Lonchura striata: one gene and its partner. The protein of the gene in region 1 purifies or fractionates together with the protein of each later gene. This does not show direct contact. Links are inferred from orthologs where the notes say so. Each region holds a gene or a part of one and is shown on either strand. Other genes may lie near its edges. The genes, in order: DYNC1I1 and BICD2.

The links.
Region 2: the proteins of DYNC1I1 (region 1) and BICD2 purify together in Homo sapiens (affinity purification with western blotting; 4 studies listed by BioGRID and IntAct, with this or other methods). This does not show direct contact. The link is inferred for Lonchura striata from reciprocal best matches to the Homo sapiens genes DYNC1I1 and BICD2.

What each region holds. Positions count from the first base shown.
Region 1 is NC_134603.1:132,300,957-132,309,207, forward strand, and holds the start of DYNC1I1 (cytoplasmic dynein 1 intermediate chain 1), read right to left. Parts: upstream 3,028-8,251; 5' UTR 2,684-3,027; intron 2,000-2,683; 5' UTR 1,933-1,999; intron 1-1,932. UniProt on the Homo sapiens protein: Acts as one of several non-catalytic accessory components of the cytoplasmic dynein 1 complex that are thought to be involved in linking dynein to cargos and to adapter proteins that regulate dynein function.
Region 2 is NC_134614.1:541,826-549,008, reverse strand, and holds the start of BICD2 (protein bicaudal D homolog 2), read right to left. Parts: upstream 3,226-7,183; 5' UTR 2,997-3,225; coding exon 2,757-2,996; intron 1-2,756. UniProt on the Homo sapiens protein: Acts as an adapter protein linking the dynein motor complex to various cargos and converts dynein from a non-processive to a highly processive motor in the presence of dynactin.

The DNA of each region.
Region 1 (8,251 bases):
CCTAATTCTGCTGCCAGTCAAACCAAGCCAAAGGAGCTCAACAGGGCACTTGAGGCATAGCCCTGGTTAAGTAGTCCTAGAGAGTGACCACAAATATGTTTAAAATCTCTGTGAGAAGTTAAGTTTGAGGAGCTGAAAGATACCACATGATTAACTGATACACTAGCAAGAGTAAATGAAGTTTTCAAAAAAATATTGCCTTTCTCTACTCTAAATGTTTTTTCTACTTCAATCCCTTATCTTTTTCCCTTCCAGCCCATTTCACATCATTGTCCAATATCCTGCAATGGTGGTGCCTCTAACACAGCCCATTATTAGAGCAACTAGCTCAGTCTAGTATTCCCCCTCTCTCTTCTTGCATTCTGGAAAACAGAGGGCAGCAAGGAATGCTTTTTGAAACCTGTCTTACAAAAGAAAAGAAGACCAAGAGACCGAATCTGTTAACTTATTTAAAAATAAGGCAGGTAAGTTCTCATTGCATCATTTAGAATATCTACACTGAAGACAGCTGCTAAAGCAAAGCTTTTATCTATGGGAGGCATAACAGGAACTAGAAACCTGAAGTTGGAAAAATACACTGAAAAACAAACACATTCCAATAATGAAAAAAATACCCACTGAAAGGCATCACAAAGGAGGGCAGTTCACTGCCCTTCCTCCTATAGAAAGAGCTGGAAGGTCAGCTTCTTAATTTAAGATCTGCTGGCTACAAAGGAATATTTCCCTGTGTATTCTTTGAGTAGCCAGATCTCCAAACTTCCAGTAATTACTGCATGTGTAAGGTGTGTTTTATTGCTGCTCCTTTAAAGATTCCTCTCCTAAACTGTGGATAAGGCAGCACTACAGTTAGTGAATTTTTATGGTAGACTAATTAGAGGCAGAGGTGCTTAGAGCTGAGAGAAATCTAGCCAATCTAACTCTAAACCATCATTTGGATCTCCATATACCTGGCCCTCAGAAGTCCTGCTTAACAAGGAAGATGATGGTAAGTCCCAATCTTCAAATCAGTCTGTCCACAGAGAAAGTTCAGAAGAGACAACACATTTTTGTATTTTTATGAACTATAAATGGATGATTTTGGGAAAAGAAAACAAAGCAGAGGATGCACTGGTGAGTGAGCACTCCCATCTGGGTGAAGACCCAGATGTAGCCCCAAAGTTTGTATTAAAGAAACCATTTCTTGCAGAAAAATGCTGCAAATTATAAAAGGAATTTTATTTGCCTTCACTAAATATGGAGAATGTTACTAGAGATGCCCCCTCAAAAGAAAATAAAAACAAAAAAAAAAAGAGCTTAAAAGAATCAGAATCGCAAACAGGTAACCTTCCCCCTTAACTTAGCAAGAACAGATGAGGCACTTCAACAAAACACATTGGTGGTAACAGAACTTAAATTCCCCAATTGCTCTGATAACACCATCTATCAAGACGCAGGCAGTCCTGGGACCTGGGATTTCCATTCTGAAACAGGTTTTGCAGTCCCATGCTTCATGATATTTAGTGCAATTTCCAATGTTATTTAAAGACTTCAATCAGAAGTGAAGCACTGACAAAATCCTGTATGTCAGGATAAATTTCCAGGTATGAAAGTCATATGCCAGCTTCATGTCAGGTCCTTCCATCTCATGCCCTCTATATTATCAGGCTAGATTGTTTGATCTGCCAAGAATCCTTATGTTATATGCATTTATAGCTCAAATATTTACTTTCTGTCAATGGCAGTATGGACAGAAAAACAAACTTTCTTCCAGTTCATAAAACAGGGGCTTTGTCTAGGAAATCTGGGGCCTTATGTTCTTCTCTGCTGACCATAGGGGATTCCCGGGATGATGTAACTGCAATATCATCCTTTTGAAAATCTATTTCACTGGACTACCAGTGAAAAAAGGCCTCTGGCTGACTCCCTCCATCTCTCACCCTTTTAGGGAATTACCTTAAATGAAAGATCTATTTACTGTCCGCTGTCGTCCTGGACTTGAGCAAACCCGCTACCGCTCACGCTGTGTGAAGAATTACAGATGAAAAACTTTTACCACCCCCTTTTGCTTTAAGCTGTTGGGCGCTCAGGCGGCAGCCGAGAGCCTGCGGCCGTCACTCAGCCCCGGGGCCGGGAGGCGCCCCAGGGACCGGAGCAGGTGCCGAGGCTCGCTCACCGCAGCCCCCCCGCCGACGAGCGCCAGGCCGCCAGAGCCCACCCAAGGCGAGGGCTGGCCGGCTCCGCGGGCAGCCGGGGATGCCCGCCCGCCCAGCCGGGATGCCCGCCCGCCCAGCCGGGATGCCCGCTAGTCCAGCCGGGATGCCCGCTCGCCCAGCCGGGATGCCCGCTCGCCCAGTCGGGATGCCCGCCCGCCCAGCCGGGATGCCCGCCCGCCCAGCCGGGATGCCCGCTCGCCCAGCCGGGATGCCCGCTCGCCCAGCCGGGATGCCCGCTCGCCCAGCCGGGATGCCCGCCCGCCCAGCCGGGATGCCCGCCCGCCCAGCCGGGATGCCCGCTCGCCCAGCCGGGCCGCCTGCCCGGGGAGCGCCTCCGGCGGCCGCACCAGGCTCCGCGGCCGCTGCGCATCCCGCGGAGCGACTCCCGCCCCGCTCCTCCGCCGCCAGCGCCGGGCCCAAGGGCAGCCCCCACTCGCCCCTCCGGTCCGGCCCCGCCGCGTCCCGGCCCCGCCGCCCCGCGGGTGCCTCACCTCCGCCGGCGCCCGGGAGATGCGGAGCGGCTCCCGGCGCCTTGCAGCCCTCACCGAGCCCGCGCCGCCGGGGGAGCAGAGGGATGCCCCGCTGACTGAAGGGCTGCTGCCAGTAGCTGCGCCCTGTCGTGCCGAGCCGAGCCGAGCCGAGCCGTGCTGCCCGCCGCTGCGGCAGCACCGCCGCCGCCGCCGCTGAATATGCTGTCTCACGGTGGACAGGCTCCTCCCGAGAGCTGCTGCTGCCGCTTTCCTCCTCCCGCCTCCTCCTCCTCCTCCGCCCGCGCGGCCCCGGTACAGACACCCCCTCTGCCGCCCCGGGGCCGGGGCGGGGCCGCGGGGCAGGTGGCGGCGGAGGGGCCGGCTCAGTGTCCCCGCCCGGCCCCCCGGCAACTCCGGCCTGAAGTGCGCTCGCTCGGCTCCGCGATGTTCCCCTGTGTCACCCCCACAGTGGCGCAGGCTTCGCCCCGGGAGCAGCCGAGCCGGCAGCTGCGCGGCTGTCAGCACAACACCGGCTTCACCGTCAGCCCCACGACAGCCCAGGCAGCATCCACCGCCGCCTCCACAGACAGCATCCTGACACCATCGCATGGTAGCAACCGGCAGCCCCACGACAGCCCAGGCAGCATCCCCACCACCATCCTGATGGCAGCAGCTGGCAGCCCCACAGAGGCTTAGCCATCGCCCTCTAAGCTGCCTAGAATATCCTCCCAGGCCAGCCTCACCGTCACCCCCTCGGCAGCCTGGCCATCACTCCCGTAGCAGCCTAGTCAACTGTCATGGCTCCAGGCTCCTGCTTAGTCCTGTCCCTTTCTCGAAGAACAGGGAGAGCTCCAGAACAGATGCTTTCATGGCTAAATAAGGACAAGACTGCCCAAAGGCAGACGTTTTGTTTTGCCCGTGTTTCCTCATACCATTCATGGGTACAGGTACCAGACAAGAGGGCCAGATTTCTAGCATTGCCCCTGCTTCTCTCCACATACAGACATATCCATCTCCTGGGGGAGAGGTGCCAAGCAGAGCTATTTAGGATAGTCCATGCTCCTGCAAAATAGCACCCACCTCCAGTGGAGATAACCCAGCTTCCTGCTCCCCTATTGCACTCAGGTATGCTGCCCACACACGTGGAAAACACGTACCTTTTGGTACCATTGGTTGTTTTAAAGAACAAAACATTTTGGTTTGTTCTTTGAAAACATGATGTCCTAGATGTACCACTCAGTGTTGCCTATCCCTCTGGTCCAAGAGGTACCTCCAGAACCCTGTCCCTGGATCCTAATCTCTTGTTTTCCTTTGGTGGGAAACACTTATTCCAGCCACTGTCATTCGAGGTCTAGGGCTTGTCCTGGGAAGAGTAAAGTATATACCCAGCCCACTGGAAAGCCATAAAGAATTCACATCACCTCCAGTTCCTGCCAGACCTAGACAGACTGCACCTGGCCAGGAGAAAAAAATCCTGAAAAGGAGCAAAAGCCTCCATTGCTGGTGTGGATACAGTTAGGAAATAACAGTTTCTCAATTTAATTGGAGTTGAATCAGGATCAGGAATGATAAATCTTTCGCTCTCCTGTGAAGTCCTTCAAGAGCAGCATCTTCTGCTTCTGCATGTTGGAGAATGTGGAAAGCAACCCTGTAGTTTTAAAGGCACAATTTGAAAAGTTTTTTGTTTGGCACATTTGGTTTGCAACTATTCATTAAAACAAGGCCCTTTCAATATCAAACACCTGAAATTGAACTTCAGAAACTGATTTTTGCTTTTAAAAGTGTTGGGGAGTTTGCCTTAGCTTTAACACAAATGCCATAGGGTTTGTTTAGGTTCCTTTGAATTGCATGCCACTTGCAAATTCCCTGCAAACTCAGCAGATTGCTTTAAATTATTCCTGACCTAAGAGGGCCTTGGAGTAATTTAATATTCTTGAATTGACAGATGAGGCTGGTTGTCCATGGAGCCTGATGAGATTCTGCTATTGTTAAGATGCTGTCCTATCCATATAACCATGATGCCATGGTATCACACACATATCATGACATCACATTGCATGATGATACCAGGCATACTAATATATGTCATAAATGTGTTTCCTGAGCTTGTTAAGCCCTAATTTTTTTGTTACAGAGTAATGATATTTTGTGTTCTAGTAATAACTACATGAGATGTTTCTTTAAAAAATCCTGTAAACCCCAGTTCAATGGGACACAATTTTGATATCTATTACATTCACATTTGCCAGAGGTGATTCAGTCTTTTAAAAGTATAAAAATAAAAGATGTAAGTGTATGTGTCAAAGAAAAAATGTTTAAAAATCCTCATCAAACAGAATGACAGATTTAGTAAAATTATTACTTTAAAATGGGGAATTGTATACAGAAGAATTCAGAAATAACTTCAGTGGCCAGGGTAGTATATTAACAAACCCACAAATTTCTCCTCACAATAAACTGTTGTAAGAAAATTTGGAGAGAATCAATCCTGGATAGTAAAGGCTAGATGTTCCTACAAGTAACAACCTGCAGGAACTCAAGAAAAATTTATGAGCAGCCCAGTTAAGAAGGGAAATTTGTTATTCTCTGAAGGAATAACAAATTTCCCTATAAGTGATGCTCTGTCCTCTATGACCTCAATCTCACCATTTTCTTCTCTAAGCTTCCATAACAAAAGGTCTCACCATTTTTGTGGATTTCTTGCTCTAGGCATGAAAGGTCTCTATTAGTTGTCACTAATTTTACAAAGCAGAGATAAAATCTTCATACACCAAGAAGATATGATTATATTCACTTTTCAAAACAAAATATTTATGATCAATAATGTATTTGTAACTCATTTTAATGAAAAATATCCAGTAATTTCAGTATACCACACTAATTTTACATTTTCCCATTAAACACAAATCCATAATATTATCCAACTCAATATATTCTGCTAGTAGCATTTCTGATTACATATTCTTAGTCATCAGGTGAAAGTGCAGTAGCACAGAGTAAAGATTATTTTCAAAACTTTTATGTTCTCATTCTGTGAGTTCAGAAGGTGGTTATTGTAGCCCCAGATTGATTTGTGAGAACAACAGAGGGCAAACTGGTCGGCAATTACAGATGTCTAATAAGCTGCCTTCTCTGCAGCAGAGGTCAGTTTTACATGGACACACACAGCCACCACACTGTCATCTGAAGAGAAATCAAAGATTAAGGGAAAGTCTGAGGTCCATCACAGACTATGGATTGTGTAGAAAAAGGCTATTGTTAAAATTACAAAAATTCATTGTTTGCCTGTCTCCCCTCTTCAAACTTACACACATGTAAAATGTGTGTAAGCTAGAAGAGGGTGTGCACATTAATAAGTGCAATATGTGGTTAATTGCTAGATTGGAAAAGTTCAAGGGAAAGCAATTTGCAATGTTTTCTTTTTGAAGTTACTGTATATAGAGTTGTTCACATTTAAGTTATTAATGAAGATGGGTATAAATTGCTCTGGCAAACGAATAACTGTTTATGATGCAACATAAGACAAATAGTAATAATTAGTGCATTGCATTTCCATGCCTTAGGCACCAGAAACTCCTACATCACAGCGGGCATTAATAAGTGAGCAAACCCTCTAGGAAGTTTGTGCCACTTGAAGGTTAAAAATTAATTTCAAAGCAGACATTTCTAAGGCTTAGTGGAAATGAAAGTACATTTTAGACACTTGGCATGGTAGGCATAATCTAGGCTTGGCAAATAACAGAGGATGTTACAAAATGCCTTCCAGCTTTTCAAAAGCAATGATTTAAACAAAGGATCAAAAGGCAGAATGAAAATTTTAGAAAAAGTGAGGAATATCACTTCTGAAGTCAGGTTTATTGCTGCAGCAGCTAAGTCACTATAGGGCACTATTCCACATGCCTTCAAAAATCTGTCCTTCACAAGTGAACTAGTTAGTTACTCATGTAAGAAATGTATGGGTGGTTGCTCAGTTAAAAAGGAAAAAAGTTACTAGGAAAGTATTGGAGGGCTTTATTTACTGTTTGCTGAAATCAGTTAGATCTCCAGGCAGATCACTGAGTTGAAATTTCCACAAGTCTGAATATCCACAGTACATTCAAGATAAAAAAGAAAGATTTTAAATGCATCTGGTACACAGTTGCTAATAATTCCTCTGTCAATTGATCTATTGGCAGATTACCAGTTCTAAGATCTTTGCTGAAACACGTGTACAAAGCAAAAAAACTCCCACATATCCTAAAAAGGATAAATTCTTTATCAGAAAAAGCATCAGTAATAAGAGATGATGTATACAAGTAGAAGGTAAAGGGAGATCTGTGGCAGGTGGGTGAGTTCCACGCTGTTCTGGATTTGGGTGACTCTCCAAACATGTTGCAACTGTGTGCTCCTAGAAACAATTATTTTAGCAACAGGTTCTTTTCTAAGCCTTCTTGATTTGTTCCTTTGTTCCTCATTTTCCTACAACATTGTCACCAAAAATTCAACAGTTCTGTACATCTGAAATAGGAATCATTAACTTGACTTCACACCTGAGACTGCCTGTTAAAACACATAATTGTCCAGCTTCTGATTTTGCACCTGTAACCAAGGTACAGAAATGGCCTGCAAAAGAAAGAAAGGCTCCAGAAATTTTGTTACTGCCTTTGTAAGTAGCAGGTGCTTGCCATGTAATGCAACCAATTCCTTTTATTTGAAAAGATTCAGTATACTGGGAAGGGCTTGGAAACTTGTCAGCAAAGCAGCTAACCTGGGAAGGAAGTGGAACATTCTGGGAGACACTTCCTGGCAGAGGTCATGAAGACTCAGCAGCATGGAGAGGACTTCAGGCTTGAAGTATTTTACTGTGCTTTGCTACTGTGCTCATGTTCTGAATTACTGAAGAAGCTACAAAAGGACATCTCCATAGTTTGTGTGGCAGTCCCTGAAAATGAAATGGGCTTCAGGCAGGACTGGACAGTTTAGGGAACACAGAATCTGGAATGCTCTCTTAAAGACCAAACTACACAGTTGTCTCCACTCACCTCTGTTTTGAGTTCCTGAGAACTCAATAGATTTGTTGAAGGGAACAAAAGAAAAGTCTGAGTTTACAGAATTAGCAGCAGCACCCAGCTATCTTTACAATTATTGTGCTCTTTTTATAAAAGGTTGTCTCATTTCCCCACAGCACCTTTGGTTTGAAGTCCAGAACTTTATGTTTGATTTAAAACAACAACAATTTACATTTTTTGCAAATACCAAAGGGTACTACTCCTTTATAGAATTCCTGAGATCTCCCAAATATTAACTTGAAGCTTAGCTTTACCAAAATTAAAATCAGTGGTACATCCAAGGTGATGTGTGAATGTCATACATCATGAAAATGTATTAAAGTGTATGAAAGCAGATAAGTGCTATTTTTGACAACAAATTGAATGTTATGGCAAATTATTCATATGATTAAAAGTAGAAGTGCATTATATAGAGTAGATTCTAAAGGGAAGTATTTATCTAAAATGACTCTTTGAAATGTCCCTTATTTTTCATACTTTGCTCTGCCCAAGACAGTCATCTTTGCTTGCCTTTTCATTATGCCTTAACCATGAACTGGAT
Region 2 (7,183 bases), on another chromosome or scaffold:
TAAAATATATCAGATCAAGTCAGCACACATACAAGTAAAAGAACAAATTAAAGAAAACCTGACCCCTTAAAAAGGGGTTGGTGTGAAGGCTCAGCAGTGCAAGGACAGAGCAGCTCCCCATTTTCACCAGGGCAACTTGGATTGCAAATACTGAGTACACTGACACCTTTACCAAATGAGAGCCAAATGGTTCTGACAATGCCATTCACACTCACCAAAGGGATACAACAGTGGAGATTAAGGCTCTGAAATTTCTGAATTTCACTGGATGGCAAGAAAGAGAATCTGGCCAGAAAGATCTGATGACTATAGCAGAAAAGCCTGTACTTTCAACAAACTGCATTACAAAGTTCCCGTGCTCTGAACCTATTTACTTACAGTATGAACAGGGCCGTGATACAGGAGTTATTCATAATATCAAACTAATTAAAGCATATCCAAATCTACAATACCCAGCAGGACAGAAAACCTCCGCATGCTTGCCCCACACCCTGCCTAACATGGCCTTGTGCCGCTTAGCTCTCTCAACATAGATGAACAAAGTAACCTCTATAGAGAGTAAAAGGGCTGTATCTTAAAAGCCTGCATGAAGTTACAGTTAATAAGCAAGAGCTGGAAAGCAATATAGTTCTAGTTTCACATCAATCTCCCACATTCCCCAAGAACAACTTAAGTAACCCCTTAGGGTTACAACTTAAGTAATCCCTTTAGGTTGGAGCGTGACATGTAATAAGTCTTGTATGCAGCGCTCCTCTAGCTGAGTGTGGGAAAAACAAGAAGTTGCATAAAACAGCATGATGATAAACTCCTCCTCTGAGCATACACTTCATACATCTGCTAAAGGTTTACAAGATCTACAGCAAATCAGATTCCTGCACAGCATCACAAGAAAGCTAGAGGAGCAATGCTCTTTCCCTGAGTAAGCTATCAGAGTCCTTAAGCTGTTCTCCGAGAATTGTCTGCTTCCCAGGTTTTGACTTAATTAGAGTGGGACATTAACACACAAAGCAAATCCTTCAAAATGTTAAAAGCAAAAAAGAGTGAATCATTGCTGATTCTGCTTTTCTTTTTTCTTTTTAATCTCTTTTACAAGCCTTTCACTTGTTACAGCCCTAAAAGAATGAAAAGACAGTACCATCAAGCTTTTTTTCATCTGCAAGTCAAAACATGTAATGCCCAAACACACATAGCAGAGCCCAGTGACTAAAGCCACTACCTGTGATGGAGGCATCCTGCTCCCACTGGTGTGTCAGGCACTGCCTTGCTGAATGAGGTTGGGCTATTCCTATAGCCTCTCCACGCTATGTCTCGCATTCCACCTATCAACTGAGTTTACTGACTTTCTCTCCCTTGAGCTCAACTCTACAACTGCCTCTGCCCTTGACTTCCAAGTTTCTGCTCCTGTATGCTGCTGTGCTGGTCTCAAGTGGCTTTAGGAACAGCAGCATATCCGTTCAGCTTATTTAGTTAACAAGTTTATAGCCATGTAATTCAAAGTAGTTAACCTCTTTGCTTATGCTTGTTTAATGCAATAAAAGCAAAATAAAGCTTTATTTACAAGACTAAAAGATATATAGTAAGCAGGAAGGGAGGGCATTCACAAATTCAGCTGATTTTGTACCAGTCTGCTACAAGGATTTACTTTTCCTTTGAAATACTGTATTCTGATTTTACTTAAAATCCATCTCCAACTGAATAAACTAAAGCTAAGCTCCATTGGATACAATTTGTACAGGTCAAATCCACCTATATTCACCTCTTAGGCTGTATCAGATGTTTTGCAATCAAGGCAAGGCCTAAATCAGCTGAAAAGCAGCACAAGGTTTGCCAGTATGCCAAATCACTGAACCAAACAAAGCTATATGCAGACAAGTTCCCATGGGCCATGCTCTACAGTGGGCTGACAGAATCAGCTCATAAGGAGTGCAAAGCTCAAGTCTACATGCCTGGACAGCACTTTTCCCACATTCTACACCTAGAGATCTTGCACGAGAAAAACTTAACGTGCAAATTGCCTCATACAGCGTTTCTACTGACAAACTTTACTCTCCTGTACAGATTAGATCTGGAATTCCCCTTAAAATAGGAAGTAATTTAAAAATATGCCAACGGTAGGACCTGCACCAAAACAAAGTTATATGAACTGAAGTCTGCTCTACTATTTTTGTGGCGGTCCCCATTGAGGAAGTGATTAACACCAACGTAAGATTTCTCCTTCCACACGAAAGCAGGCATATGACAGCATCGCCACCGCACCTTGGCCCCGGCCTTCGCCCCCCGCCGCCTGCCTGTGTTTCGCCCGGGGGCGCGGCGGCGACAGCCCCAACCCCCGGGAGGGGCAACCCCAACCGGGCTTCACGCCCTGCAGCAGTCCTGGGGCGGCCCACCTACCGGATCCTGAGACGAAACGGAACGGGACGGAAAGAGAAAAGCGTCCACCCGTTTCCCATATCCCCCTTCACAGGAGCGGGGCTCGGAGCAGAAAGGCCTTTTTTTCCATCCCTTCCCTCTTCTGGGCTGGCCCGCAACTAGGCACCTGGGAGCTGTCATTTTGGGGAGGGGCAAACGCTCTGCCGGAGCCAGGCCGAAGCCTAGGAACCCGCCGGTCGCCCCACAGCAGCCCCAGGGCCCCTCAGGTTGCCGGCCCCTGACTCCAAGCCAGCCCCGTTCCCACTGCTCCGCGCTGCCTTCACCCTTGCACCCGCCACGGCCGCGCCCGGATCCAGGCCGCCCACCTGCCACCGCCCCCGCCTCACCTCCTTTAGCTGCTCCATCTCGGTGCGGATGGTCTCGTACTCCAGCTCTAGCTCCTCATACTGCTGCTTCAACTGCTGCTTCTCCTCCAGCACTGCCAGCCCGTACTCCGCCGCCTGGATCTTCTCCCGGGTGGTCTCGCCCAGCTCCTGGAAGAGACGCTTGATCTCGCTCCGCAGCCACTCGGGCTCCGACTCCATCACCAGCCGGGCGTACTCCTCCTCCTCCATGGCCTGCGACATGTCGGCGAAGGGACCTCCGACCGCCGAGGCGGTTGGGCGAAAGGCTGAACGCGCAGCCCTCCTAACCTAAGTTTACTACTTCTAACAGCGGCACGGCCCGCGGACAGCTAGGGCAGGGCCCGCTCGGGCCGCCATCGACGGGCCTAGCGCGCGCTGCTCCCGCCGCAGATCCTCCCTGGAACCCGCTCGCCGCAAGCGCCGAGCGCAGTGAAATCATTCAAAAGGCACGGCCGGGCCGGCGCCCCGCGGGACACTGGGAGCGGGAGTCCTCGGTTCTCGACGCGCCGCGCGCCGCGCGTCTCGCCGGACTACAGCTCCCGACAAACACCGCGACAAGTGGGTGTGGTGGCGGGCGGGGAGGAGCGCGACCTCTGCCGGGCGACGCGGGGTAGCGCGACGGCGAGAGCGTAGGGCCGGCGTTGCCCGGGGGCGGCGTGGCCCGACAGCGAACGCACCTCAGGACCCCCCCCTACTGACCCCGGATACAAATTCGGGCACAGGCCCCGGGACCAGGGCATATACCCCATGCACAGAGCCCGTGTACACACCCTGGCGGCCCGGACCACGCTCCGGAGGGCTTTCGAGGCGGGTTTGAGAAAGCGTCGGAATCGGCTGGGTATGAAAGATAGCCCGTGCACCAGAGCGTGTGTGTCGGGGAGACGTTCCGGTGCGGCGGGCGGTGCCACAGCAGCACGGAGAGGACAGAGGGTCACAGGAGAAGGCTGGCCCCAGCCCCACACCATACCGAGCGGTGTTCTGCATCTACAGGTGGAATACCTGCTACAAGGCGTTCTCTGCTCACCGACAGGGACCAAGCCACGTCCCCCGAGTCATTCCGAGGATAACCACGGCCGCGGGGCAAGGTCTTCCCCTATGGCTGAGCTACCTGATGAAAGGACGGATAGATCGCATGAAGAGCCAGTGCCGTGACCAGCTATGGGGCAGTGACACTTGGGCAGCTGTACTGTGCTGCCTGCAAAGGATTTGCCACCTTGTGAGGAAAATGCCATCAGTCTTTGCCCCAGGTTGCACCTATTGGGCATGTTTGGTGGCAAAAGCACAGGGATTGGGACACTGATTGGGGCACCGTGGGAAGAAGTAATTTTTAAAGCATAGTGATGACTGAACAGAGACAAACCTCTACTAGTTAGGCCATTGCAATTCCTAAGCAGCCCCATAAAGGTGGGGGGGGTGTGTCCCTGTGGGGTGGGGAGATGCTTCACTCCCATGGTCAGGAGCCCTACAGCTTCATCATCCTTTCATACAGCAAGTGCGGCTTGGACTTTCTTTCAGTGTCAAAAACAATCAGTAATGAACTGGTGAGCAAATAGCAAGCATAATAAAAACAATTACATGTTTGAGCACTCCACAAGGTCTCAAACATGAAGCAACATATTTACTCACAGCTGCAGGGTTTTTTCAAGCTACTTTGAACTTCTGCCTACGCACTTATCCCTTTAATAAGCTGTGTCATGGTTGAATGCTGCCTGTTAGTCATGAAGCTGCCTTAGTCAATTTTTCTTCAGGGTCCTGACACCTCCTGCAGCTCCCTGTGCATCAGGTGCAGATATGCATTTGCCCTCTGAGCACTGATGTGACACTCAGTCACCCAGACCTTAGAAGCAGCAAATCAATGTCCTCAGCCTGGAGTGTGCGTATGAAATTGCTTTAGTTTTTTACTTTCAGGATTCTTAGTAGAAGTCTTTTCATTCTTGTGTACCTCTATACCATCATGACTGTCACAGAATATTTTTGGGGGTTTGAACATTCTGATTCTTTGATAAAGATAAGGGAGAAAAATAACAGCATTACCTCTCCTCCACACTCTGTTTTTCAGTATTAGGATTTCTTCATGGCCTTTTATGTTTTTCTTCTGTCTGCCCAAGCAGGTAGCATTGCTAGTTGCACCCATTCACAACTGATTCATAATTAAGATATTTTTCATAATAAATACTGGCTTATTTTCTTTCACCTCATACTTTCCGAGCCTTCATTCCAGGTTTTCTCTGCAGCTCTGGGCTGAAGCACATTAGCTACCCTTCAGTGCTCCTCCCTCTCCTAAACTGAAACCTGCATGTAATGACTTGCTCTCAGGACACAGAACTTCAGTTCACATCCTGAATATTTCTGGGATTACAAGTGAATTGTGAGATCTGACTAGTTTGAGTGATTCATAGAGACGAGATGATCAACTCATCATAGCACAAGGGACTTTGCTGGATAATTTGTTTTCTAGGTCATATTTAGAACTATTGCTTTTTTCTAGGTTTCAAACTTTATTATTTTATAAACTGCCCAAGATGCAAAGGCAGAAATTATAAATACTGCAATAGCTAATTTGAAAGCATTCCTGCCCCCTTTTAGAAAACTGGAGTCACATGTCAAAGTTAAGGCTCCCATCATCCTTCAAGGTAATGATGCAGGATAATAAAAGCTTGTATAATGAGTGGCGGAGTACAACCTGGCTAGTGCCCATCACCTGCTCCTGAGCACAGCCAGAGACCATTGCCCATTTCCCCAGGTCATGTCCCTGAACTCCATCAATGCAAAGGCTTAGCTGGTACCCCACTGATTCAAGGTGTCATGGCCAAGTGTACTTTGGTGATACAGACTTACACAACTGTCGTGGTTTGACACGGAAAAAGAATTTTTTTGGAAGGAAGAGGTCAATTTGGATATCGACCAATTGAAGGTGGACACGCCTCTGAGAACACAGAGGGGTTAAAAGCAGAGTTCCCAGGAGAACTCGGTCTCTTTGGTTCCGGTCAGCGTGCAGTGCCCGGCCCGTGGCTGGATGGGGGAGGGGAAGGCCTGACTGAGGTAGGCTGGAGGGTGGAGGGGGCTGGAACCCCCTACAGATGGATGGAAGGGTGGAGAAATTGGGGATGTCTCTGTTCTCCCACAGAGGAGAGAGAGAGAGAGAGAGAGAGAGAGAAAGCAGCAGTTTGTCAGCAGTACGCCAGGGAAGGAGAAGAGAGGGGGTGCCACAAAGTGCCCAGCCACTGTGGGAGCCGGAGCCTGGGCAGCGAGCCATCCTTGGGAGTTGGGACTTTTAACCCTTCCTTGAGAAATGAAGGCTTTGTGAAATATTACTTCTCGGTTTGAAGGAGAGACAGCCTGGGACCTGAGATTGTGAGGGAAAGAAGGTTGGGGGGCGATGATGGAGTGGCTTTTGGCTGGACTTTTTCTTGGTAGCCACAGACTGAACTGATTTTCTCCTCCAAGAGAGACTGTATTTTAGGAGGATACCAGTGAGCCAAAGAGACCTGCTTCAGCTGGGAAAAGTCAGAAGTGGAGCAAACAGAGAAAAGTTAGGGAGGTTTGTGGTAGTGCCCCCTGTCTTCAGAGCAGAAGAAGAGAAGATTTCTGTTCTTGGACCCTTGGTGCTAGGGGGAAATGGGGGAGACTGCGGTCCCAAAAATGAAAAAAACTGTTGTTTTTTCCCTCTTGGCAGAGCATCCGTGAAAGGAAAAATCCTAAAAGCAGTCTCTCCATCCATCCATGCATTGGTGGTGAGAACACTGTGCATGGAAAGGAGAGGGTCACCACGGCAAACTTTTTCTCCGGGCGGTGCCATGAGTGACGTGGAAACAGGACGTGGCAGCTGAGTTTCTTGGGGGGTCTGTGGCACGGGAGGGACTCCTCTTTTCCTCAATGGACTGAGTATTGACTGACTGGAGAGTGGGAACCTGATTGGGGGTCCAGGTTGTGTCTCACTGTGGTTTGTTGGAGTTGGGTGGTGGGAGGAGGAATGTTTTGAAAGGTTTTCATTTTGAATTTTGTGTGTGTTTTTTCTTCTTTTTTTTTCCTTTATAGTAGTATAGTAGTAGTAGCTGAATAAAGTTTTTTTTCCCTTGAGTTTGGACCTACTTTTGCTCTGCTCTCGATCGCATTTCACAGAATTCAATTGAGAGGTTGCAATTTCATGGGGGCGCTGGCATTGTGCCAGTGACAAATCATGACAACAACACCTGGAGATTGTTGCTCTTCTTTTTCCTGTTGAGATTTTAAAGCTATCCACTGAGAACAAAGTGGTAGAATTATACAAGAACCATCTTAAATGCTAGAATAAATTTGGACAGTGTTTCTTCTTGTGGAAATTAACCTGCAGAAAAATTTTTCCCTAGGGGAAAAGTCATAGCAAAGGCAAAACCCTGCAATGCTCATTTTATTTAACCTCAGTCCAA